Linked DNA regions of Macaca fascicularis. The protein of the gene in region 1 interacts with the protein of each later gene in a biochemical or structural test. Links are inferred from orthologs where the notes say so. Each region holds a gene or a part of one and is shown in the gene's direction. Other genes may lie near its edges. The genes, in order: DLG4, PKP4, FRMPD4, RALBP1, RPS6KA1, TANC1 and ADRB1.

The links.
Region 2: the proteins of DLG4 (region 1) and PKP4 interact in a test that uses a peptide from one of them, tested with the Homo sapiens proteins (2 studies listed by IntAct, with this or other methods). The link is inferred for Macaca fascicularis from reciprocal best matches to the Homo sapiens genes DLG4 and PKP4.
Region 3: the proteins of DLG4 (region 1) and FRMPD4 interact in a biophysical measurement, tested with the Homo sapiens proteins (2 studies listed by IntAct, with this or other methods). The link is inferred for Macaca fascicularis from reciprocal best matches to the Homo sapiens genes DLG4 and FRMPD4.
Region 4: the proteins of DLG4 (region 1) and RALBP1 interact in a biophysical measurement, tested with the Homo sapiens proteins (2 studies listed by IntAct, with this or other methods). The link is inferred for Macaca fascicularis from reciprocal best matches to the Homo sapiens genes DLG4 and RALBP1.
Region 5: the proteins of DLG4 (region 1) and RPS6KA1 interact in a test that uses a peptide from one of them, tested with the Homo sapiens proteins (2 studies listed by BioGRID and IntAct). The link is inferred for Macaca fascicularis from reciprocal best matches to the Homo sapiens genes DLG4 and RPS6KA1.
Region 6: the proteins of DLG4 (region 1) and TANC1 interact in a test that uses a peptide from one of them, tested with the Homo sapiens proteins (2 studies listed by IntAct, with this or other methods). The link is inferred for Macaca fascicularis from reciprocal best matches to the Homo sapiens genes DLG4 and TANC1.
Region 7: the proteins of DLG4 (region 1) and ADRB1 form a complex in vitro, tested with the Homo sapiens proteins (2 studies listed by BioGRID and IntAct, with this or other methods). The link is inferred for Macaca fascicularis from reciprocal best matches to the Homo sapiens genes DLG4 and ADRB1.

The regions. Positions count from the first base shown.
Region 1 is NC_088390.1:7,250,563-7,254,062, reverse strand, and holds part of DLG4 (disks large homolog 4), read left to right. Parts: exon of another isoform or gene 1-12; intron 13-710; coding exon 711-765; intron 766-896; coding exon 897-955; intron 956-1,147; coding exon 1,148-1,272; intron 1,273-1,370; coding exon 1,371-1,540; intron 1,541-1,638; coding exon 1,639-1,775; intron 1,776-1,920; coding exon 1,921-2,065; intron 2,066-3,500. UniProt on the Homo sapiens protein: Postsynaptic scaffolding protein that plays a critical role in synaptogenesis and synaptic plasticity by providing a platform for the postsynaptic clustering of crucial synaptic proteins.
Region 2 is NC_088386.1:54,096,581-54,100,080, forward strand, and holds part of PKP4 (plakophilin-4), read left to right. Parts: intron 1-1,166; coding exon 1,167-1,716; intron 1,717-3,500. UniProt on the Homo sapiens protein: Plays a role as a regulator of Rho activity during cytokinesis. May play a role in junctional plaques.
Region 3 is NC_088395.1:12,495,204-12,498,703, forward strand, and holds part of FRMPD4 (FERM and PDZ domain-containing protein 4), read left to right. Parts: coding exon 1-1,216; 3' UTR 1,217-3,500. UniProt on the Homo sapiens protein: Positive regulator of dendritic spine morphogenesis and density. Required for the maintenance of excitatory synaptic transmission. Binds phosphatidylinositol 4,5-bisphosphate.
Region 4 is NC_088392.1:77,888,096-77,891,660, forward strand, and holds the end of RALBP1 (ralA-binding protein 1), read left to right. Parts: intron 1-1,121; coding exon 1,122-1,388; 3' UTR 1,389-3,065; downstream 3,066-3,565. UniProt on the Homo sapiens protein: Multifunctional protein that functions as a downstream effector of RALA and RALB. As a GTPase-activating protein/GAP can inactivate CDC42 and RAC1 by stimulating their GTPase activity.
Region 5 is NC_088375.1:208,557,260-208,560,759, reverse strand, and holds part of RPS6KA1 (ribosomal protein S6 kinase alpha-1), read left to right. Parts: intron 1-236; coding exon 237-325; intron 326-1,352; coding exon 1,353-1,417; intron 1,418-1,691; coding exon 1,692-1,794; intron 1,795-3,500. UniProt on the Homo sapiens protein: Serine/threonine-protein kinase that acts downstream of ERK (MAPK1/ERK2 and MAPK3/ERK1) signaling and mediates mitogenic and stress-induced activation of the transcription factors CREB1, ETV1/ER81 and NR4A1/NUR77, regulates translation through RPS6 and EIF4B phosphorylation, and mediates cellular proliferation, survival, and differentiation by modulating mTOR signaling and repressing pro-apoptotic function of BAD and DAPK1.
Region 6 is NC_088386.1:54,603,185-54,606,684, forward strand, and holds part of TANC1 (protein TANC1), read left to right. Parts: intron 1-302; coding exon 303-584; intron 585-1,915; coding exon 1,916-2,067; intron 2,068-3,500. UniProt on the Homo sapiens protein: May be a scaffold component in the postsynaptic density.
Region 7 is NC_088383.1:123,086,498-123,090,648, forward strand, and holds the start of ADRB1 (beta-1 adrenergic receptor), read left to right. Parts: upstream 1-1,351; 5' UTR 1,352-1,612; coding exon 1,613-3,055; 3' UTR 3,056-4,151. UniProt on the Homo sapiens protein: Beta-adrenergic receptors mediate the catecholamine-induced activation of adenylate cyclase through the action of G proteins. This receptor binds epinephrine and norepinephrine with approximately equal affinity.

The DNA.
Region 1 (3,500 bases):
GGCCTCCTGGAGGTGGGTCTCCCCGGGTCTTGGCTGGTCCTAGATACCGTTGCTAGGCAACACGGTCCCTAGAGGAAGGGGTGGATTGGACGTCTGGTTGGTGAGACCAAGGGAGGGGTCTGCAGCTGGGGGAACCCCGGATTCCCGGGGTGCAGGGTTTAGGGCAAATGTGTGTGAAGGTGAGGGACAAGTCTAGGGGAGGATTATGATAATATCCGGGTAGTTATGGGGGGATGGGGGGGGATGGGGCAGGAAGTGGGTACCAGGACCCGGTGGACATGATCCCTGGGTTGTCCATGTGTAGCACATAAGGCATGTAACACCCTGTGGTGTTACATCCGGTGAGAAGCTCCCTTCCCCCAAGCCTACCCCCCTCTCCCCACTCTTTGCCATCTGCTGCTCCCCTCTCCGTCTGGCTGTCTCCCTTCCCGCTTCTCCTACACCTCCTTCCACATGCAGGGGGCCCCGGGCTGGGCAGAGTTAGATCCATGTGCTTGTGCATCTGTGCGTGTGTGTGTGCGTGCGCATGTGCACGCGTGTGCGTGTGTGTGTGATGTGGAGTGAGACTGGGCCCTTGAGCAGCTCTCAGCGTGGCAGAGTGGGCTTGGCTAAGAGGCTGAAAGGGTAGCCACGCTGATGGGACCCTCCGTTACGGGCTCCCTCTCGAGTCAAGGCTCAGGTGGCTTTTTGTCTCTTGTTTCCCCAAACAGGCCAATTCTCCCCCTGTGATTGTCAACACAGATACCCTAGAAGCCCCAGGATATGTGAGTTGTTTAGATTTTGGGGCTAGGGCCATTGCAGAAGGAAGGAGGGAGTAAGGGAGGGAAGCAGATGACGGGCAGGTTGTGAGGCAGGAATGTCTGTCTCACTGCTTTTGTGTTTCTGTCCCGTGCTGGAGTTGCAGGTGAACGGGACCGAGGGGGAGATGGAATACGAGGAAATCACATTGGAAAGGGTGAGCAGGCTCCTCCATTGGCAGTCCCCTTGCCCCCCCATCTGTACCTTTCTTTCTGCCCATGTGGTCTGCGTGGCCAGCCCCTCACCCTATCCCTTCCTGCTCTGGCTGCTCCAAGCCATTTCCCACCCCACTTGCCTTGCCAGACTTGGGCAGTGAGGGGAGCTGACCCTCTTCCCCTCCTTCGCCCAGGGTAACTCAGGTCTGGGCTTCAGCATCGCAGGTGGCACTGACAACCCACACATCGGTGACGACCCGTCCATTTTCATCACCAAGATCATTCCTGGTGGGGCTGCGGCCCAGGATGGCCGCCTCAGGTGAGGAGAGGATACAGGGGTTAGGATGCTTGGTCCCTGGAGAGGGAGGGCCAGGGCAGCAGGAAGCTCTTGGCTCAGGCCCACCTTGCTGCTCCCAGGGTCAACGACAGCATCCTGTTTGTAAATGAAGTGGACGTGCGCGAGGTGACCCACTCGGCAGCGGTGGAGGCCCTCAAAGAGGCAGGCTCCATCGTTCGCCTCTATGTCATGCGCCGGAAGCCCCCAGCTGAGAAGGTCATGGAGATCAAGCTCATCAAGGGGCCTAAAGGTAGTAACTCATTTTGTTCCCCCATCCCAACTGTCCTGTGCCCCCAAGCCTGCTTCCTGGGCACCTGGGCACCCACCTCTGGCCTCCCCTCCATCCAGGTCTTGGCTTCAGCATCGCAGGGGGCGTAGGGAACCAGCACATCCCAGGAGATAATAGCATCTATGTAACAAAGATCATCGAAGGGGGTGCTGCCCACAAGGATGGGAGGTTGCAGATTGGAGACAAGATCCTGGCGGTGAGGACCCCATCTAGTCCATTTTCTAGCCCAAATCTGGGTCTCACCTACTAGCCCTGGCAGGCGCAAGTTCATCACTTCATCCCAGTCCATCTGTCTTGGGCCATTTGTGGCTTTGTCTGAGCTTTGCTTTCCTTGACTCCAGGTCAACAGTGTGGGGCTAGAGGATGTCATGCATGAAGATGCTGTGGCAGCCCTGAAGAACACGTATGATGTTGTCTACCTAAAGGTGGCCAAGCCCAGCAATGCCTACCTGAGTGACAGCTATGCTCCCCCAGACATCACAACCTGTGAGAGCCCTTCAAACACCAAAGCTCCCCATGACCCATCCCGTTTAACCCATGACATGCAGTCCCATGACATCCCTGTAGCTGTCCCTCTTCAGATATTCCCAATGAAATAGCCACAACCGAGACGGGCGGATCACGAGGTCAGGAGATCGAGACCATCCTGGCTAACACGGTGAAACCCCGTCTCTACTAAAAAATACAAAAAACTAGCCGGGCGAGGTGGCGGGCGCCTGTAGTCCCAGTTACTCGGGAGGCTGAGGCAGGAGAATGGCGTAAACCCGGGAGGCGGAGCTTGCAGTGAGCTGAGATCCGGCCACTGCACTCCAGCCCGGGCGACAGAGCCAGACTCCGTCTCAAAAAAAAAAAAAAAAAAAAAAAAGAAATAGCCACAACCTCTGATCCTTGCTGTTGTCAGAGAAGAGATGGAAAATCAATTACCATAAAAGAACTAGAAAAGATCGTCAATGATCTCTCCCATGGAAGGCACAAAACCTGTTTGGTTTTATGGCTAATTTTATGAAATTCTCAAGGAATAGATAATTCTTCTGCTCTTCCAGAGTATAGGAAAGATAAAAGATTTCACATTTCATTTTATAAGGTCAGTTCAAATGGTCACAAGGATAACGTAAAATAAGGAGAGTATAGACCTGTTTTGCTTCTGAATAGAGATACAAGACTTTATAATAATATAGTAGCAAACCAAACATGGCAGCATGTTAAGGAAATAACATAGGATTTGTTTCAGAAAACTAAAGATGGCTCAACATTAGGAAATCTCTCAGTATGATTCATATATTAAAATGTTAAGGGAGGCCAAGTGTGGTGGTTCATGCTTGTAATCCCAGCACTTGGGAGGCCAAGGTAGGAGGATTTGAGACCAGCTAGGGATTTGAGACCAGCCTAGGCAACATAGCGAGATCCTGTCTCTACAAAAAATAAAAAAAATTAGCACACACCTATACTCCTTGCTACTTGGGAGGCTGAGGCTGGAGGATCACTTGAGCCGAGAAGTTGGAAGCTACAGTGAGCCAATGATTGTGCCACTGCCCACCAGACTGGTGACAGAGCGAGAGGAGAAAACGATACGATCATCTCAAATAGACGTGAGAAAGGCATTTGGTGAAATTCACCATCTCTTTTGGATGAAAGCTTTTAGTAAACTAGGAACAGAGGAATTTTCCTTAGGATGGTGAAGACTAGTTATCAGGAACCGGTAATGAACATTTTATAATGATACAATTTTAGCAGTGTGTCCATTAACTTATTTTTAAATTTAATTTTAATTTTTATTTTGTTTTTGAAATGGAGTTTTGCTCTTGTTGCCCAGGCTGGAGTGCAGTGGTGCGATCTCGGCTCACTGCAACCTCTGCCTCCTAGGTTCAAGTGTTTCCGCTGCCCCAGCCTACCGAGTAGCTGGGATTACAGGCACCCGCCA
Region 2 (3,500 bases), on another chromosome or scaffold:
ACTTCTTTCCTTACTTCCCGAACTAAAAGTGGTTGTGGGTTGTCATCCTAAAAGTGATGACAACTAGACTCTAGCAACCACTACGGAGGTAACAGAGCAGCCTGGTCCTGAGCTTCTAACCTGGAGCCCTAATGTCTGTTTTTATTTCTCAGTTGGCTCTCCTTTTTCCCATACCTGTTCCCCTTGGGCCCCTTCTCCAGCCCAACCATTCCTTTTTATTGTTGCACAGCATCAAAAACAGTGTCCAGCACCTGCTGTAATTGCAGGAATCAACAGATTCATAGTAGGATCAGCCATGGCAGAAATGTTCATTTTCCAACCTAGTCTTTTCCAGCTGGCTAGGCCAAGAACCCAACAGAGGCTTTGACCATTCCTCCTGCTGGAATAGATTTGGGGGTGCCTTTTTTTTTTCACATCTCTTTAAATCCACCAACTAAAGCTAAGAACTCATAGATTGGAAGAGGTAAAAAGAAATGGCTAAAGTGAGGAGAAGCTATGCTTGATCTAAAGGAATCAACAAATTTGCCTAGAGCACCTGTGTAGCCAAGCTGTTCCCCGAAGTAAATTCACAGTGGAGAGCGCCAGACCCACACTTGATCCAAATGTTCATTTATTCCACAATGAAAGAACATGTTCCTTTTGTTAATGGGACCAACCCATAAAGAAAAACAATGATAAATATTCCACTAGCTACATTTAGACTGATATATTCAAATTATATTCAGAATTTTGTTTTACATAAATGTATTGCCTTGGCCAAACTTTGCCTCACAGGGAGTGAAGTAAGTACATTGTTCCGGTGCCCCTTCACGCTCATGAATTACTTGTAACACTTAGAATAAAACATTTTATGTGCTGTGAACAACGCATGGGCAATAGTTAAAAATGTAAAGATAAAAAGGAGTATTAAATGTCTTCAGATCTCTTTTTATGGGTTAATTTTAGCATTTGGTTTAAACCACCAAAAAAAAAAAAAAGTAAAACAACTGAAGCACCATGAGGAAAAATTAATGTCTGGCTCAAAGCGTAAAAAGGAAAAGAAACTTAGACGCCTAAAATAAATAGTGGATTCACGTTCTGTAGTGAGCTATGTGTATTTCTTTTGTAATGGCAATGAACACAAAACCCTGGATAAACCCATTCTCTTTTTTCCCCCCTTTCATCAGCCATCAGTAGCCAATCGGGCCATGAGAAGAGTTAGTTCAGTTCCATCTAGAGCACAGTCTCCTTCTTATGTTATCAGCACAGGCGTGTCTCCTTCAAGGGGGTCACTGAGAACTTCTCTGGGTAGTGGATTTGGCTCTCCGTCAGTGACCGACCCCCGACCTCTGAACCCCAGTGCATATTCCTCCACCACATTACCTGCTGTGCGGGCAGCCTCTCCGTACTCACAGAGACCCGCCTCCCCAACAGCTATACGGCGGATTGGGTCAGTCACCTCCCGGCAGACCTCCAATCCCAACGGACCAACCCCTCAATACCAAACCACCGCCAGAGTGGGGTCCCCACTGACCCTGACGGATGCACAGACTCGAGTAGCTTCCCCATCCCAAGGCCAGGTGGGGTCGTCGTCCCCCAAACGCTCAGGGATGACTGCCGTACCACAGCATCTGGGACCTTCACTGCAAAGGACTGTTCATGACATGGAGCAATTCGGACAGCAGCAGTATGACATTTATGAGAGGATGGTTCCACCCAGGCCAGACAGCCTGACAGGTGCGTACAAGGTGACAGTGCTACATAAAACCCAGTGAGGAAATCTTCTGTGTAACTAAAGCTGAAACAAAGAATGAAAAGGTGGAAAGGGCTCATTCATGTTTTTAATCTCAGAATTTAAACTATGAACTTAAGGTTAACTTGTCTTTCAGGCTCTGTAATTCTTAATACATGAAATTATATACATTTATATCAATAGAATCATTTTACAATGGATACAACTCTTTTGTAATATTTCCCCCTCAAAATATTAGGGTTTAAAATGTACATTTTTTTGCATTTCAGAAGTATTAGTTGGAATTCTAAGCAGTTGACTAACTTTTTTTTAATGAAATATTTTTTACCAGCCAGGCCTACCCCTAAACATACCCTAGCGTTATGTTAAAAGGTGGTATCAGAATATCTGTTTAAATATTTAAATTTTTTCTTTAGAAATACTTCGGTAGTATAGACTAGAATATGAATTTTATCGCCTACTTGACTTTGGCCTTTTAATGGAAAGTGCACAAAGCACTTATAAATTACCTTTACATGCCACTCCTATTAAAGCAGTAAGACACCGGATCCCTAATACAGCTGTTCCAACTTCAGGGTTTTTCATGGAGGGTTTCCCACATGATGTAAAGATTTGGTTATTTTAAATAAAATGCAATTTAACTGTAGTGTTTTAAATTATATTTTAAAAGTAACATATACCGAATGGTAAAAATTAAAACTATACCGGAAAATACTGAAATGAGTGAAAGCCTTTTACCCTCACCCAGTCCCATCACAGTTGATGTGACTTTCAGAATGTTTCTTTGCATTTACAGATACACACCATGCAAATCTGCACACACATTGTGTTTTCTACTGATGGAATTCTGTCATATAGATCTCCTATACTTTGTTCTTTTCACTTACTGTGTCTTAAGAGCTCTACTTCATTCTTAATAGATGCATGGGACTCATTTTTTATAGATAGTATCAATTTATTTGTCCTTTTCCTACTAATGGACATTTAGGTTGTTTGTTATGTTTAGCTATTAGAGATGATATAGTATAGTATACATTGTTCTACCTGCATATTTCACATAAGTACTAGGGTAACTGGGATCCAGTAGAATTGCTGCATCAAAATATGTGTGTATTTTTACTTTGAGAGATATTACTTAGAATTGTCTTCTAAGAAGGTTACACATGGATTTATGTTTCTGCCAGTAGTTTGAGTGCCTGTTTCTCTATACCTTGTCTACACTGCACTAGTGCTGCATATTCCAAGTTTTTCATATTTGCCAATCTGATAGGTAAAAAGCTGTACCTCATTTTTTTAAAGGGCTTTTATTGAGTTATGACTGAGGTTGAAGATTTCATATGTTCATCAACAGCTTTATTTTGTTTTGTTAAACTATAAGTTCAAGTCTTTTGTCTATTTTTATAATTTGTGAAAGCTTTTTTTTGCTAGAGATAAGTTAGCACCTCATAATATGCTTCTCAAGTATTTTTTCCATTTTGTCACTTGTCTTTTTATTTCATTTTAGTTTTAATATACAAAACTGTTTAACATTTTTACATAGTAAAATTAGTATCTTTTTATGGCTTCTAGGAAAGTTTAAGCCTTTTGAGATTTTTCTGATTGAATAATTTTGCCTGGAGAATTTATATTGAACTTAATTTTTGAGCTCAGAGAAATTCTTAGTGGAGAAACCACCTCTTATTCATTCATCCATCCAAGAAGTATGTTTGGCTTAGATATTTTTTGCAATGCCTCTGAAAAGTATGCAGCAAAATGATGTAGGAATCAT
Region 3 (3,500 bases), on another chromosome or scaffold:
GGTGCCAATTCCAAATCAAGACCCTAATGATTTCTCCCAAGCAAATCAGGCATATGGAGAGGCTGTGAGCTGGCGGCCACCGGATCTGAGAGGGGGAAGCCTCAGGACACCCCCCAGCCAGAAGGCTCTGAGACATAGCAGCAGTGTCCTCTCCGGATCTGTCGATTTGGAGACCTTCCGAGAGAGAACCAAGGGTGCAGTCAGCTTAAAGTGTCCAGGCATCACAGAAGCACAGGAGGCCAGTTCTGAAAGGCGAGCAGAACTCCCCCTGGGGAGGAAGCTCACCAAAAGTTTTTCCCAAAGCTCGATGCACTTGAGCTCCGAGGGGAGGTTTCACAAAAGGTCCCCAGTGGCTCATAAAGACTCAAAGCTGTATAGGACATTACCCTTGCGGAAGCTGGAGGGCAGCAATTGGAGATGCCGGGGACCCTTCAGCTATTGCTTCCTGAACCGAGGGCAGGATGAAGATGGTGAGGAAGAGGAGGAGAGAGGAGAGGCCACCGTCCAGGTCGCTTGCCTCTATAGACCACAGATGACTCAAGCCACGCCAGAACCAAGCAGCCCATGTCTGGCTGTGGCAATTCAGAAGCAAGGAGGGGAGCTATCCAGAGGGTCAGTGCTGAAGGTCTGGGCAGAAGACCTGCGAGGCCCAGATGACTTGGACTTCAGCAACCTGGCTTTTGATGCCCGGATTGCAAGAATAAATGCCCTAAAGGAGAGCACATATGCAATGCCTGATGGGTTCCTTGCAGCCCAAAATGATGCCAATGAGCTGCTCTGTCTCGTCAGGGCAACAAAGGAGAAGAAAGAGGAGTCACGCCCTGAAGCATACGACCTTACACTTTCTCAGTACAAGCAACTGTTGTCCATTGAGTCCAGACAGTTGGGAAGTGCCTGTAGGAAAATGGCGATGGCTGAGAAAAGCCCGGAGGAGATGCTCCTAGCTATGACTTCCAGCTTTCAAGTGCTCTGTTGCCTAACAGAAGCTTGCATGCGATTAGTTAAAGTCGTGAACTCAGAAACACAGCGGCAGGAAATTGTAGGGAAGATCGATGAAGTGGTCATAAATTACATTTGTCTACTGAAAGCTGCCGAAGCAGCCACTGGAAAGAACCCTGGGGACCCTAATGTTGGATTCTCGGTGCGACACTCAACCACCATGGCCGCTCTCGTAAGCACACTGACACGTTCTCTCAAGAGGCTTTTAAACAAATAAATATGGAAGTCACGTCATAATCTACCTTTACGAAGCCATACATGAACTTTTATTTACTTTGTGTGTATGATGAACAGATGTCTCCTTTCTTCTCTCTGTATATTTTGTTATTTTATATAAAATAGGAGATAAAAGTCACATTGATGAAATGTTGAAATGTACTAATCAGATGTATTCTGTTTATATTATACATATATATACACGTAAAAGAAATATCCAAGAAAGTGATGACATTTGGCTATTTTTCATATAGTTAAAACTCCAGGTATATGATGTGAAATTTTAAATTCTACCATGTTAGAGCAAAACAATGAATCCTATCCCCTTTCTTTCCAAGTAGATACTTGGAGATCACATCATTCATATTTAGAAGTAAAACAAAAAAACAAAAAAAGAGAGAGAAAAGAAAAGAAATCACAATGTATATAAAACAGTACTAATGTTTTAAAATTATGATTTTTAAGCATTGGAAATAGCAAAAAGACATTTAAAATTCAAGAAGCTATTATGAATTACTAGAGACTATATCTGTAATAAATTAATTTTTTGCTCATAGTATTTGGTTACTGGATGCTTTCTTCCAAGAATCCCACATATTTAATTTGGGTTTTTGCTATTTGGGCTACAAATTGGTGGGGGTGGATTCTACTGTGTCAGCACAAATGCTCTTCACAGTGTTTCTAGCATTTAAAAAACTTCCCAGGGAGAAGAACAGAGGGGATGATGGGCAGTTTCCTAGGTAATACCTAGAGTTATAGAATATCTCATTACATAAAATGTATGGAATTAATAATGCCAAAATTAATTATTTGATGGAAAGATCTGCTTTGACTAAATGTCAAAAATCTACAAACCAAAGACATTATCTTCCCCTCACCGCAACTCAACTATGAAACTTAAAATTCCCTTTAGAATGATGGGACATTTAGTAAAGTATTTGCAAACTTACAAAAGGGAACATTTAATGATCATCAAAATTAAGTATTGATTCAGTGATGTAGACCAGACCACACACCAGCACCTGTGAGTCTCATCTCAGATCACAGCTCTCAACATAGGGCTTCATGCATCACCGCCTCTACAGAGGCTAAGGCTGCCAATCAAATTTGGAATTACAGTGTAGTACTGGGACAAAATCTCAAATCTTGGGTGTTCCAGAAAATCAGGGAGAAATGGCTACTGTAACCATGGGAACCATGAGTAAATAGTTAAGTATTTATTAAATAAATACTTAATCTGGATTGGCTGATAAAAATATGAAATCTGAAAAAAAAAAGAAAGAAATGGAAGTGGTATATTTGACCAGTTCAAGTGAAACCAATGGAATGCAAAGAACTTTCCAGGACTGTCACATCTCTAAAAGTACCCTGCAGTCATAAAATAAAATCGATATTATATATATATATTTCCTGGGTCATTCAGTGCTCAAGTTACATGCACTCCTACTTAGACAGGTGGCTCCTTAAGAATACGACGGGAGTACACCAGGTGCAAATATTTCTACTTTTGTAGCCTACTGAGAAGGAGGCATAACACAGTCCACAATTGCAATCTCTCTCTAGTCAGCCATTCCACAGGGACTCAACAACAAAAGCCACACGTGGTTATGGATGGCAGCGAAGGAAAGGAGTTTAGGCGTGTGTTATTATAAATAATGTTTAACTAAATAATAAAACATTATTTCATTACAATTATAATTATAAATATTGGTGTTTTGATATTGAGAGATATTAGTGGTGTTTACTGTGGAAAATCTTAGTAAATATCATTCTGTGTACTAAAATCCTAACTTATTAATAGGATGTGTGCCCTATGTCAGACAGTGTGCTAAGCATATTAACTATATTATCTCATTTAATCATCACAACAATCTGCTGGTTTGGACACTATTCTCTCTGGAGGCAATATGGATGAGTTGTTACGGATATGGGGTTTGGGGTCAGAAACATCTTATTTAAATTTTGACTCTGCCATTTTCTAGCCCTTTCGTGTTGGGAAAGCTACTTTTTCTAGTCTCAATTTCCTCATAATAAAATAAAGTCAATTATAAGATTGATTTCCATAGGGTTGTCATGATTTTTGAGTATGTATGTAAAGTTCTTACCACAATACCTGGCAGAGAGTAAGTATTCAATTAATGTTAGCTATTATTATCATCATAATCATTGTGTTAAATATACTACTGCCCAAGATAATATGTGGGGGAATGTTTGTTTGTTTTATATGCATATTGTATCCTGACTGTGTGCAGAACACATTATGTGTATTGCATATATGTAAAAGA
Region 4 (3,565 bases), on another chromosome or scaffold:
AGAGGCTGCACAGTGAAGAGAAGGCGGCAGAGAGAAAGGTCTAGATCACAATTTCCCTTCTTACCCCAAATAAAAGATTGTGTCCAGATATTTTGCCTAAGGATTGAGAGAAGACATCCTTTTCATAGAAAGGAATCTAAGGACAGAGGGACAGCTCTGTGTCCCTCATTTGGGTTGGCTCAGTGGCTGGTGCGAACCAGAACTACCCCCTGCATAGAAAAGCAGAATTCCACACACAGCCACTGACTCTGAGTAGGAAAACAGAATCCAGAAGTATTGTACTTGGAGTGTAGGCTGAATTGCTGTAATAAAGAGAATAACATAGTGGTCTAAACAAGATGGTGTCTCTTGTGTGGCAGGTGGTCCAGCCCATCATCCTCCACACCAGTTTTTTCCACGCGGGGTGGACTAAGTTAGCAGGGAAGGGAGAAGGCATGCCCAGTGGCCAAGGACAGGGTGCACGCGTGGCACTCGGTGCTTGTGCTTATGTCTACGCCCCTTTTGCAGAGCCTAGTCCATGCCACACCCAAGCAAGGGAAGCTGGCACCCGCCACAGAGTGGAGGCCATGGCGGGCAGGGCCGCTGCTATTCCGCGGTACCTAAACTCTGCCGAGTATGTCCAGATGATTTAGAATTGATAGTAATTTTCTATAGTTTGATTGAGTAGGACATTTCAGAATTACAGTAATGCCATTCACAAAAGACAAAGGATATTCACCTTTGAAACAAATCTAGTTTTTTATCTGATCTCTAACTCCCCTTTCTAATTGCTGCTAAAATTACTTTTATTTTCTCAAGGGCTGTTCAGAAGCCAGTTCGAAGTTATGAGTTGTCTATTTTAAACACTAGGACACTGAATTATTAAAATGACGGGTTTCGGTTGGCACATGGATGTGTCTCCCTCCAGTAACCAGGAGCGAGGTTTCCAGCCTCACATTCTGAGGAGTCACGTGGCCCTCACTGTGCACTGTGCATTCTCCCTGTGTGTGTCTTCTGTTTCACAACCCACTGACTTAAAACCAGGTTCCTCTGTAGGACGCCCTTGCTAACTGCGCTCTGCTCCTGAGAAATCGTCCTCTGACTTCCTTAAGTGGTAACTGCCCTTTCTGTCATTCCCCAAGATAAAGAACAATCATTTGAATCAAGCAATTCATGAGGAGCGCGAGGCGATCATCGAGCTGCGAGTGCAGCTGCGGCTGCTCCAGATGCAGCGGGCCAAGGCCGAGCAGCAGGCACAGGAGGACCAGGAGCCTGAGTGGCGCGGGGGTGCCGTCCAGCCGCCCAGAGACGGCGTCCTCGAGCCGAAAGCAGCTAAAGAGCAGCCAAAGGCAGGCAAGGAGCCGGCGAAGCCATCGCCCAGCAGGGACAGGAAGGAGACGTCCATCTGAGCAGCCTGCGCGGCCGTCTGGAGTCCGCGAGACTGAAAGGACCCGTGCATCTTACTGTAACCCGGGGGCCAGGCCGGCTCTCCCGCTGTACATTCTGTAAAGGTGTCTTCTCTTCTCAGACTCTTCCTCTGTCACACGTCTGACTCCTTCGCGTCAGGCTCAGGTTCCATGGGAGGACGAAGCAGTGGACACATTGTGGGCTTTAGGGACAGATGAGTTTTCCAGATAGTGTCAGCTTATTTGAAGATTAATTTTTTTTGTTAACTTAAAATAACTATTTTAACCCTTGAGTGGCTTCTTTTTAAACCAAAAATCGTCTTTCTTTGCTTTTTTATCACAGCAGAATCAGGATCTCTTTCTCATTCAAGGGGGGAACCACACCAGGTCAGCGCTGCGCCTGCTGTGGCCGCCGCGAGCCACGCCCTCCGGGATCTCTGGTACCGTCACTCTTGCTTGTGCCTTCCACACCTTCTCGGTGCAGATCCCTATGGGGGAGCTGCCTCACGTTCTCTGACTGGTCAGAGCAGCGCCTGGTGGGTGTTCCCTGGTCCACCCTCCTAACTGTCTCCTGCAGTTGTAAACCGCAGTCCATAAGCCCGAGTCACCAGGACGGCCTATCTGGCCACAGACGGGCTGCCTGTGGAGCCCGCCCACCTGCCCTGGGCAGCGCAGGCCTGCGGGGAGGAGGCCGCCCGTTCCCGCGGGTTCCTCACTGCGGGGACCAGCAAAGGCCTTCTCACTGGGTTGGTCAAAGGTAGTCACCTTGGCCTGGTGCATCCACAGAGGATGTTGCTCAAACCAGAAATCTTTTAAACGACTGACCTTCCTTAAAAACTGAATGACTCTGATTGCTTGCTTGGGCTAGAATGTACACGTCTCCTTGCCTGAATAAGCCATATATATGCTCTTAAACAAAAGTTTGAAATTATCCATATCGTCTCAGTGAACCTACTGGTGGACTGACTCCCAATTGACAAGATTGAGCAATAGAAAAAAATTCCTTTCCTTTGAATGGTAACTGTGATTCGCCCCACCCTATTTTCTTGTCTCTGGTCCATCCAATGAGACATGAGACGGATGCTCTGATGCTCTGAGGCTTCTGGGAGGCTGGGCCCTGGAGGCACGTGCTGCAGGTGCACTCTGTCAGAGTGAATAGCACCGTGAGACAGGCCAGGCTCGTGGCTCGGAAGACAAACCCCACACACACTCAAGGGGACGAAAACAAACCCCACACGAGGGCTCTCTCCTCCTCCTAGGTAGTATTTATTTTCAGCACCTGTTTGATGCAGTTTTTAATCCTCTACCTATTGCACTGTTGTGACTCGTTGGCCATTATTTGATTTTTGTACGGAAAAAAGCTTTGTTATAGAAATCAGCATACTATTTTTTTAAATCTGGAGAGAAGATATTCTGGTGACTGAAAGTATGGTCGGGTGTCAGATATAAATGTGCAAATGCCTTCTTGCTGTCCTGTCGGTCTCAGTACATTCACTTTGTAGCTGCTGGCAATATCGAAGGTTCCTTTTTTGTTTGTGTAAACTCTAATTTCTATCAAGGTGTCATGGATTTTTAAAATTAGTATTTCATTACAAATGTCTCAGCATTGGTTAACTAATTTTTGCCAGGACCATTATTGATCAAGCAAATAAATGCAACAGCCATTTGGGAAAAAGAAAAGCTTCTAGTGTTTTTGTATCCATTCTTTCTGTGAGGAGATTGAGTACTCTGCCGCTGGTGAGGAGGTGGCTGAGGCACTTCTTCAAGGCCAAGGGGGGACACAGTGTTTTGTTTTCAGCTCACCTCTTTGAGCTGTACCCCTCACCTCTGCAGACACGGGGAGAACCCCGGACCCCTGGCATGCATGCTGGCTGCGGCGCACCTCCCTTCCACGAGCCCACGCTGCTGCAGAGGGAGCCTATGTGTGTTTGCAAAACCCAGCGGACTGGGTTGGGTCTGCGGACTGAGCAGCTCCTGGCCCCGGTGGGAACTGCATACAAGTCCGCTGGCCTGGCTTGGCCCCAGGCATTGCCATTTACAGACATTTGCATTTCACACGGTAAATGAGGACTCAGCACAGCCAACCATAATTAGCATGTCTGGGATAGACTGGTCTAGAATAAAAATGAAGTTTCCATTGCTTTTTTTTGCTTTAAAAATTCCACAATTAAAGTATCTGT
Region 5 (3,500 bases), on another chromosome or scaffold:
TATTACCCTGTCCCTGCCTCAGATTCCCCTTCTAATGAGACTCTCCTCTGGGTTAAACATTATACCTTCCTTTTTCATCCATAGGGGCCTGTGGGTGGGAACCCTGAAGTCTTTGGGAAGTGAATTAGTGGATGGCTTGTATAGACCGAGCTGGGAACTAAACCTGGACAGGGGCCGGGGGAGATGGGGCCTCTGGGGCAGGGCTTGGCCTTGATGAGTCCCGGGGGCTGTTTCAGGGCGAAGCTAGGCATGCCCCAGTTTCTGAGCACCGAAGCCCAGAGCCTCTTGCGGGCCCTGTTCAAGCGGAATCCTGCCAACCGGCTCGGTAAGCAGCCCCAGCTCAGGGGAGGGGATGTGGCGATGGGGAGCCGGGTACAGCTGCAGCCTAGGCCACAGGGCCACATCTGGGCTGAAAGGGGCCGTTGTGCTTTGTGTGGGCAGACAATGCTGCGGGCCACCCTGCCTTCTGGCTCCATGTGTGGTGTTGTGGAGGGGGGAGCTGACCTGTGTGTAGGGGGAAGGCAGGAACTGAGTCATCCCTACTCCCTCTGGGGACAAGGACAGAGGCCCCTACACAGCTTCTCCGCCAAGGCTGCTGGCACAAGAGAAAGAGCATGAGCTCAGGAGTCAGAAGGCACAGGTCCCAATCCCGGCTCTGTGTCAGGTCCCCACTGCCTGGCACGAAACAGTCCCTGTATAAATATTTGTTAAATGAATGAGGCCACTTATGAACTAAGTAACCCCGGGCAGGTGACTTCACCTCTCTACACCCAGGTTCCTCGTCTCAATGGGAGATGATGATCCCAAGCTTGCTTCAGGGCTCTGTTGATGAAATGAGGTTGCGTGAACATGCCGGCATGTAGTAGGTGTCCAGTGTGTGCTGGCTTCCCTGGCTCCTGGGTTCATCTGGTCCATGACCAGCTGTGTAAGGTCCAGTCCAGGCCCCTGGGGTTGAATGGAGTGACAACCTGTTCTATGGTTGAAAATGTCAATAGGATAAGAGGAACAGAGATGAGGCTTGCGTTGGAATGAGGTGGGGCTCTCTGTAGGTCTCAGAGCAAGCTCAGCTTCTGTTCTGACTGTGTGGCCTTGGAGAAGTTGCCTAAAGTCTCTGGGCCTTCCTCCTCCCACTAGTACATTGGAACTTCTTCATCAGAAGCTCCAGAAAGTGGAAAATGCTGAGTAGGTGACAGGCCTTAGGGTGATGGCTGGGTAGATTTGAGGCAGAGTGAGCCCATTTTCCCCTCTGCTCCAGCAGCTGGTCCCAGAGCCCTGTGAGGCTGCTTGGTGGGCAGGGTGGCGTCTGGGGGTTGCGCCACCCAGGCTCAGACCCTTCATTTGGGCTCTTTCAGGCTCTGGCCCTGATGGGGCAGAGGAAATCAAGCGGCATGTCTTCTACTCCACCATTGACTGGAATGTGAGTGTGTCCACCCACGCCAGGGCTCCGGCCATCTTGGCCACAGGAAGGGTGGTGGGAGGGGAGCCTCTGCTAGCAAGGGCCCCAGACGCAGGAGCAGAGGGTCATAGCCTGCCCTTGAAGACAAGGGCTGGCCTCCTGAGGGCAAGCAATTATGCTGTTGTCTGCTGGGCAACATGGCCTATGTTCCAAGCCCAGCACCTCCTCCAGCATGGGGCTCCTGGTGGGCTGTTGAGGGTGCTGTGGTGACCAGGGTGCCCATCCCACTGTGCAGAAGCTATACCGTCGTGAGATCAAGCCACCCTTCAAGCCAGCAGTGGCTCAGCCTGATGACACCTTCTACTTTGACACTGAGTTCACGTCCCGCACACCCAATGGTGCGTCTCTTATCTGTTTTGTCTGTCTTGGGCTGGTACAGGAGAGAAGCCAGGAGTCGGTGGCAGCTTGCGGGGCAGAGATAGTCAGGGACACTGACAGGCCGAGGTGTGTGGATGGGCAGGCGGGTGAGTTTCTGGCTCCGTGGGACTCTGACTTTCGCCCTGTCTCACTCTGCCTGACTCTCTCACTCTGGGGTTCTGTGGGTCTCTTTGTGTCTGGTGAGAGAGTAGGAGTCGGGGTGTGTGGGTGGTGAAGGCCACAGTAGAAAAGTCAGGACCCCTGCCAGGGGCACCTTCCAGCCCACTGGGAAGACCAAACACATCAGGCTTACCATCACGTCAGGGAGAAGGAATCTGACCCAGCCACACTGTGTGGTGGCTGAGCAGAGGTGACAGTGCCCATAGATCAGGGACAGGCATGGGAATCAGCTTTGGCTGCCCTGACTACCGGGCCTCCGTGTACTTACCTGGAACAAGGGCACAGCCACAAACCCACTCATTTCCTGGGGTTGCTGCAAAGAGCCAGTGAAGGAGCTTCTGGGAAGGAGCTGGGTGAATCCTAACTTTTTGGCCAGATATTGACAGTGGGTGTGGGGTGGAATGTTCTGGGAGGCCTCCTATAAGGGCATGTTTTAGGAGAGGGAGTACTTTTCTTTTTTTTTCTTTTCTTTTCTTTTCTTTTTCCTTTTCTTTTGTTTCTTTTCGAGATGGAGTCTCGCTCCGTTGCCCAGGCTGGAGTGCAGTAGCGCCATATCGGCTCACTGCAACCTCCACCTCCTGGGTTCAAGCGATTCCCCTGCCTCAGCCTCCTCAGTAGCTGGGATTACAGGCATGTGCCAGCACGCCTGGCTAATTTTTGTTTGTTTGTTTGTTTGTTTGTTTGTTTTTGAGACGAAGTCTCACTCTGCCGCCCAGGCTGAAGTGCAGTGGCCGGATCTCGGCTCACTGCAAGCTCCACCTCCTGGGTTTACGCCATTCTCCTGCCCCAGCCTCCCTGGTAGCTGGGACTACAGGCGCCCGCCACCTCGCCCGGCTAGTTTTTTGTATTTTTTTTTTTAGTAGAGACGGGGTTTCACCATGTTAGCCAGGATGGTCTCGATCTCCTGACCTTGTGATCTGCCCGTCTCGGCCTCCCAAAGTGCTGGGATTACAGGCTTGAGCCACCGCGCCCGGCCAATTTTTGTATTTTTAGTAGAGACGGAGTTTCACCATGTTGGCCAAGCTGGTCTGGAACTCCTAACCTCAAATGATCCACGATGGGGTGCTTTTCTCACTGTACTTGCACACCTCTGATGACAGGGACAGCAGTTCTCTAAGCAGTCTGCTGGGCAGTGTGACAGGTGCAGCTTTGTAGGAGTCAGGGGCCAGAGAAGCAGCATGAGGCAAGGCTTCTCAGAGGAGGGAGCGAGTGAGCTGAGTCCTGAAGGATAGGCAAGCAATGGATTATCTAGTTAAAGGGAACAGTGTGTGCAAGGGCTCAGAGACCCCTTTAAGGATCTGGGAAGTCCAACGTGGCTCAGCTGTGGTGTGGAGAGAGAAGAGGAGGATCACAAGGCCCTCCATTGCCAGACTGAGAAGCTGGGCTTACTCCTGAAGGCAGAGGGGCACCTTTGAAAGGTGCGGGCAGGGTGGCAGATTTGTGGTTGGAACCTTCCCTTTGGCTACTGTGCAGGGATGGACCTGAAGGGGCTGATGTAAGACGGAGA
Region 6 (3,500 bases), on another chromosome or scaffold:
GCCCCTTACATGGCTTTCTGTAATCCTCTTTGTCCTTGAGTCCTGAGAATAACTCAAAGCCATGACCAGACTAGAAAGTAATTTCAATAGGAGACTCTGTAGTGTCCTGTTGGTCCAACAGGGTATGATAATTGAGGTATTACAGAAGTATTAACAGAACCAGATTGGAAATGCTTACAGACAGATCCTAGTGGGGGTAAAGCTAAGGATTTAATGTAACACATAAGCAATGATATTTGAGTTTCTTAGTTTATAAAATTATGACATTTTTCTAAAATAATGTTTCTTTTTTTCTTTTGAAGCACGATTTGCTCCCTACAAGCCACAAGACATTTTGTTGAAACCCTTGTTGTTTGAAGTACCAAGCATAACAACAGACTCTGTGTTTGTGGGACGGGATTGGCTCTTTCACCAGATAGAGGAAAACCTGAGGAACACAGAACTGGCAGAAAACAGAGGCGCGGTGGTGGTTGGCAATGTGGGGTTTGGGAAGACAGCAATCATTTCCAAGTTGGTGGCCCTGAGCTGCCACGGAAGCCGCATGAGGCAGATTGCTTCCAACAGCCTGAGTTCATCACCTAAAAGTATGTGTGTGTTTAATTACATGTGTAGTTTATTAACATAAGAGAGATGGAGGAAATTGCTGTTCACTTAGACATAAAATACCAATTTTCTTCAAGTTGTTGCAGCTACTATATAGGTTTGCAATCGTGTGAAGTAAACTATTTGAATACGTCCCTCTGTCATGATGTGTATTCAGCTATAAGCTGGGGCGAGGCCAGTGTTCCCTGATGTCCTCCTGAACTGTAACCCCTTCTTCCTTTAGATACAGGCAGAGTTGGGCCAGTGAGGCCTGATCAAGTGCTCTGGACAGTTTGGGGCCCTGAGAGCAAGGAGTTGGGCTCCTGGCAGAACAAGCTCAGATGGAGTCTAATGTGGAGTTCTTTTGGCACATTAGAACCTGTTTGGCACAGCCTTCGTCTTCTGTATTGGATTTTCCAAAATTATAAAGACATAGGACAGAGTAGCCAAATGTTTGACTATTTACTTTTTATTTCATATGCAATAAACTCACTCTAAACATGGTGAACAAGTGAATCATGCGAGATTTTTAAGACCCAAAAGAATTTAATAGGTCAGGCACAGTGGCTCATATCTGTAATACCAACACTTTGGAAGGCCGAGGTGGGAGGATTGCTTGAGCCCAGGAGTTTGAGAGCAGCCTGGGCAACATAGGGAGACCTCGTCTCTACAAAAAACTAGCCAGTCATAGTGGTGCACGCCTTTTGTCCCAGCTACTCAGGAGGCTGAGGTGGGAGGATCGCTTGAGCCCAGTAAATCGAGACTGCAGTGAGCTGGGATTGTGCCACTGCACTGTAGCCTGGACGACACAGTGAGAGCCTGTATCAAAAAAAATTTTTAAATGCCAGGGACGGTGGCTCATGCCTGTAATCCCAGCACTTTGGGAGGCTGAGGTGGCTGGATCGCCTAAGGTCAGGAGATCAAGACCAGCCCGACCAATGTGGTAAAACCCTATCTCTACTAAAAATACAAAAGTTATCTGGGCGTGGTGGTGGGCACCTGTAATCCCAGCTATTCGGGAGGCTGAGGCACGAGAATCACTTGAACCCGAGAGGTTGAAGTTGCAGTGAGCCAAGATGGTGCCACTGTACTCCAGCCTGGGCACCAGAGCAAGACTCCGTCTAAAAAAAAAAAATTTAATAGAGGAAGCTGGAAACAGTAGATGGCTGTTCTCCAGGGAGGCGAACCTGTGCTGTCATGTGGACCTCTGAATTTTGGAGCATGTTCACTCCTTACTTATTAAGATATGCCCTGGGGCGAATCAAGAAATATAGTCAACACCCCACCCTGCTCCTACTATGATGTACATAATGAAATGGGTCTTTCTCTGCAGCTTCTGACCCCACTCAGGATCTTCCTTTCACCCCGCTGCTTTCACCGAGTTCTTCCACAAGTGCTTCCAGCACAGCTAAAACACCTCTTGGGTCTGTCAGTGCTGAAAACCAGAGACCAAGAGAGGATGCAGTGAAATATCTTGCTTCTAAGGTAAGCTCTCTTGTTTTATGGGAGCCTTCCAGATAGAGAGATTTGCTAGTTTGGTCTCTGAGAAGTAAATTGGAAAGGGGAGCTTAAAACAGAGACAACTGCTTAATGATAAAGTATAGCTTTTGATGAAATAGTGATTAAATTATCCAAGTAAAAGTATGAATGACAGTATCTGTCTTAAGACATTGGCAGTGGACTTGATCCATGTTAAACAATGGGTTGAGAGTTCCTCAAGGCAGCAGAAGGTAGCATGTGCACTCGCCACAAATCCATGCTTACCTCCATGTGCTCTTCTTAATTTGGTATGTGAGCAGGAAATTGGGAGCTTCTGACTTGACCCAGACCTCTTCCCCTGCACTCTACTGCCTGAGACCTTGGGTTCCCTCGGCTTTGTGACTGAGGTTTCTCGTGAACTTGTAATACAGTCTTCCTTGGCTGGCTTTCCCTTCTTAAATTCATGATCATCAAGATCTTTCTGAAGTTTTTCTTCTGCTCAGCACCCATCACTGGCTCACCAGCCGCACTCCTGCATTAAAGCAGTTACTTCCCTTGCTTCTAGTGGGCTGCTTAAGTTTCCCTGGCCAGTGGTGGTGTGAGTCAGTGGAGCTGGAGAGCTGCTGGAGCCAGCAGCCATGGGGACACATTGTGAGGAGGCCCTGCGGGGAGGTTGGTGAGAGCAGCTGAACAGAATCCTGTTCTGCACCAGATCCCTGTCCCTTCTCCTTCCTGGATGATGACTGCTCTTGGGACTGTCAGCCCTGATGCTTCTGACCACTGGTTCAGAACAGTCCTCTGGTCATGGGTGGGTAATTTGAGATGAGTGATGTAGTGCAGGCTTCAAAGCCATCCCTGCTTACAGTGATTTTCAAACTCCATTGACTGTGACCCACATAAGAGAGACATCTAACACTAGTGATCACTCACACATAATCGCCCACATAACTAAAGCATTTTAGAACTATATTTATTCTTATATTCTATAATATACTCTAGTATTCCTGAGTTTATTTTTAAAAAATTATGGCTCTAAATTGATTTCATGCCTGTAATCCCAGCACTTTGGGAAGCTGAGGCGTACAGATCACTCCAGTGGTCAGGAGTTCGAGACCAGCCTGGCCAACATATTGAAACCTCGTCTCTACTAAAAATACAAAAATTAGCTGGGCGTGGTGCCGGGCACCTGTAATCCCAGCTACTAGGGAAGCTGAGGCAGGAGAATCGCTTGAACCCAGGAGACGAAGGTTGCAGTGAGCCAAGATTGTGCAGCTGCACTCCAACCCAAGCAACAGAGCAAGACTTCATCTCAAAAAAATAAAAAATAAAAGTAAATAACTAAATAAATAGATTTCATGACCCACTGTTGGGTCATGGAAAAAAAAGCAAAGCTGCTTTTGTGAAACGCCGTGCAAGACTGTGGTACTGGACATCTCATG
Region 7 (4,151 bases), on another chromosome or scaffold:
CAGGTTAACAACTCACTAATTTCAAAGCGATTCATTTGCCAACTCAAAAAGCACAGATACAACTTTAAATGCTTTCGGATTTTAATCCTCTGGAGTATTTATATGTTTTCTTGTCTTATCCCTCCAAAACTAATGTCAGAGTTTTGAGAATCTGGGAACTTGGGCAAAGGAGAAAACAAGCACGCAGACCAAGGAATCTGAAATCGCAGTTCATGACGTCAGCATAAACCGACAGTACCTTTTTGTTTGTATTGACCCAGCTCAAATTATAAAATCACATGAGTAATAAAACACAAAATACAGGTGTTGTCACTGAAAAGCCTAAAATGTAACTAAACGCGTTTTCCCCCCTCGCGGTGGTATCATTTACTCTGTATCTCAACGTTTCTGTCTCCCTAAGACTCTCCCTTTATATCGTGAGCACACATTTTTGCATCATGCTCACACATTCATTAGCTAGGACTGAGGAGTGTGTACGATTCCAGCGGGCCCTCAGCGTTAGCTGTTAGATGCACAAACCTTCACTTCCTTTCCACATCTACTGCACTTGAGGTTCAACAGAGGATCCTTGCAAGAACAGCGCCCAGAGAGCATTCTTGACAGATGCGCGCTTAGCTCCAGCAACCCGCTCTGCTGGGAAGTTTCTTCTAACCACTAACACCCACCTCCAATCCCCCAAGCTGTCACGACGCAGGCTGGCTGGGTCCCGTCTTGACGGGGGAAGGGTTTTACACACATCCTGCTAGGCTGCCCCACATCACAACCAAGCTCGCAGGGCAAACTCCTCCAAGCCTGGCGGACAAGCTGTCCCAGGCGCTCTGGCGCTTCCTGAACACCAAGGTCCCCTCCGCGCTCAAGGGAGCTAGCGCACTGTTACGCAGGGAACCCCGGCACTGCAGGTCGAGGGGATGCCGAGGGAGCGGGGGCGCAGCAGGCAGCCGACTGCTGTAGGCAAACGGCGCGCAGGAGGCAAACGAGGCGCAGGAGCCGGTGCGAGAGCGAGTGGGCGCTGAGAGAGGGGGCGGGGCCCCAGGGGGGAGGCGAGCGCGGGAGGGGGCACGGGAGAACAGGGACCAGGAACCAGCGGGCGCAGGAAGGGGTGCGTCCGCAAGAACCCGCGGGCGCACGGGAGGCACTAGCTCCACGATCAGCTCGGGACTCTCAGGAGCCGCTCAATTGCCAACGGGAGGGGAGTGCGGGGAGTTGGAGGTTGGGGGGGCTGACCAGACGGGGGCGTGCCTTTGCCCGGATTGGCTGCAGGAGGCTGACGCGAGGCCCCGGGGGTTGGCTTGGGGAGTGGGAGCGGGGTGGGGTGGGTGCTGGGTGCCGGAGCTGCGGGCCCGGCGCGCTCAGAAACATGCTGAGGTCCCGGCGGCTCTTCCAGCAGCGGCAGCGGCTCCAGCAGCAGCGGCGGCGGCGGCGGCGGCGGCAGCGACAGCGCTCGGCTCCGGCGGGAAAGGCGCCCGGCGCCCATGCCTCCGGCCCCGGGCCGCGGCTGCCCTGACCCGGCCGCGACCTCCCTCTGCGCACCCCGCCGTCCAGGCTTCTGGGGTGTTCCCCAACCAAGGCCCAGCCCTGCCACACCCCCCGCCTCCGGCCTCCGCAACTCGGCATGGGCGCGGGGGCGCTCGTCCTGGGCGCCTCCGAGCCCGGTAACCTGTCGTCGGCCGCACCGCTCCCCGACGGCGTGGCCACCGCGGCGCGGCTGCTGGTGCCCGCGTCGCCGCCCGCCTCGTTGCTGCCTCCCGCCAGCGAAGGCCCCGAGCCGCTGTCGCAGCAGTGGACGGCGGGCATGGGTCTGCTGATGGCGCTCATCGTGCTGCTCATCGTGGCGGGCAACGTGCTGGTGATCGTGGCCATCGCCAAGACGCCGCGGCTGCAGACGCTCACCAACCTCTTCATCATGTCCCTGGCCAGCGCCGACCTGGTCATGGGGCTGCTGGTGGTGCCGTTCGGGGCCACCATCGTGGTGTGGGGCCGCTGGGAGTACGGCTCCTTCTTCTGCGAGCTGTGGACCTCGGTGGACGTGCTGTGCGTGACGGCCAGCATCGAGACCCTGTGTGTCATCGCCCTGGACCGCTACCTCGCCATCACCTCGCCCTTCCGCTACCAGAGCCTGCTGACGCGCGCGCGGGCGCGGGGCCTCGTGTGCACCGTGTGGGCCATCTCAGCCCTGGTGTCCTTCCTGCCCATCCTCATGCATTGGTGGCGGGCGGAGAGCGACGAGGCGCGCCGCTGCTACAACGACCCCAAGTGCTGCGATTTCGTCACCAACCGGGCCTACGCCATCGCCTCGTCCGTGGTCTCCTTCTACGTGCCCCTGTGCATCATGGCCTTCGTGTACCTGCGGGTGTTCCGCGAGGCCCAGAAGCAGGTGAAGAAGATCGACAGCTGCGAGCGCCGTTTCCTCGGCGGCCCCGCGCGGCCGCCCTCGCCCTCGCCCTCGCCCTCGCCCTCGCCGGTCCCCGCGCCGCCGCCCGGACCCCCGCGCCCCGCCGCCGCCGCTGCCACCACCGCCCCGCTGGTCAACGGACGTGCGGGTAAGCGGCGGCCCTCGCGCCTCGTGGCCCTGCGCGAGCAGAAGGCGCTCAAGACGCTGGGCATCATCATGGGCGTGTTCACGCTCTGTTGGCTGCCCTTCTTCCTGGCCAACGTGGTGAAGGCCTTCCACCGCGAGCTGGTGCCCGACCGCCTCTTCGTCTTCTTCAACTGGCTGGGCTACGCCAACTCGGCCTTCAACCCCATCATCTACTGCCGCAGCCCCGACTTCCGCAACGCCTTCCAGCGACTGCTCTGCTGCGCGCGCAGGGCTGCCCGCCGGCGCCACGCGGCCCACGGAGACCGGCCGCGCGCCTCGGGCTGTCTGGCCCGGCCCGGACCCCCGCCGTCGCCCGGGGCCGCCTCGGACGACGACGACGACGATGTCGTCGGGGCCACGCAGCCCGCGCGCCTGCTGGAGCCCTGGGCCGGCTGCAACGGCGGGGCGGCGGCGGACAGCGACTCGAGCCTGGACGAGCCGTGCCGCCCCGGATTCGCCTCGGAGTCCAAGGTGTAGGGCCCGGCGCCGGGCGAGGACGCCGGGCACCCGGGGAGGAGGAGAGCCCGGGCGCCCCGGAACGACTTCCCGGGGGAACGAGGAGATCTGTGTTTACTCAAGACCGAAAGCAGGTGAACTCGAAGCCCACAATCCTCGTCTGAATCATCCGAGGCAAACAGAAAAGCCACGGACCATTGCACAAAAAGGAAAGTTTGGGGAGGGATGGGAGAGTGGCTTGCTGATGTTCCTTGGTTTTTTTTCTTTCTTTCTTCCTTTTTTTTTTTTTTTTTTTTTTCTGTTTGTGGTCCGGCCTTCTTTTGTATGTGCGTGTGATGCATCTTTAGATTTTTTTTCCCCCACGTTGGTTTTTGACACTCTCTGCGAGGACCGGAGTGGAAGTTGGGTGGGTTACGGGAAGGAAGAAGCATTAGGAGGGGATTAAAATCGATCAGCGTGGCTCCTATCCCTTTCCCAGGAACAGGAGCAGTCTACCAGCCAGAGGGAGGAGAATGACAGTTTGTCAAGACGTATTTTCTTTTGCTTTCCAGATAAATTTCATTTTAATTTCTAAGTAATGAGTTCTGCTGTCATGAAAGCAAAGAGAAAGGATGGAGGCAAAAAAAAAAAAATTCACGTTTCAAGAAATGTTAAGCTCTTCTTGGAACAAGCCCCACCTTGCTTTCCTTGTGTAGGGCAAACCGGCCGTCCCCCGCGCGCCTGGGTGGTCAGGCTGAGGGATTTCTACCTCACACTGTGCGTTTGCACAGCAGATAGAACGACTTGTTTATATTAAACAGCTTATTTATGTATCAATATTAGTTGGAAGGACCAGGCGCAGAGCCTCTCTCTGTGACATGTGACTCTGTCAATTGAAGACAGGACATTAGAGAGAGAGAAACAGTTCAGATTACTGCACATGTGGATAAAAACAAAAACAACAAAAAAAAGGAGTGGTTCAAAATGCCATTTTTGCACAGTGTTAGGAATTACAAAGTCCACAGGAGATGTTACTTGCACAAAAAGAAATTAAATATTTTTTAAAGGGGGAGGGGCTGGGCAGATCTTAAAAACTAAAATAAAATTCAAACTCTACTTCTGTTGTCTAGTATGTTAT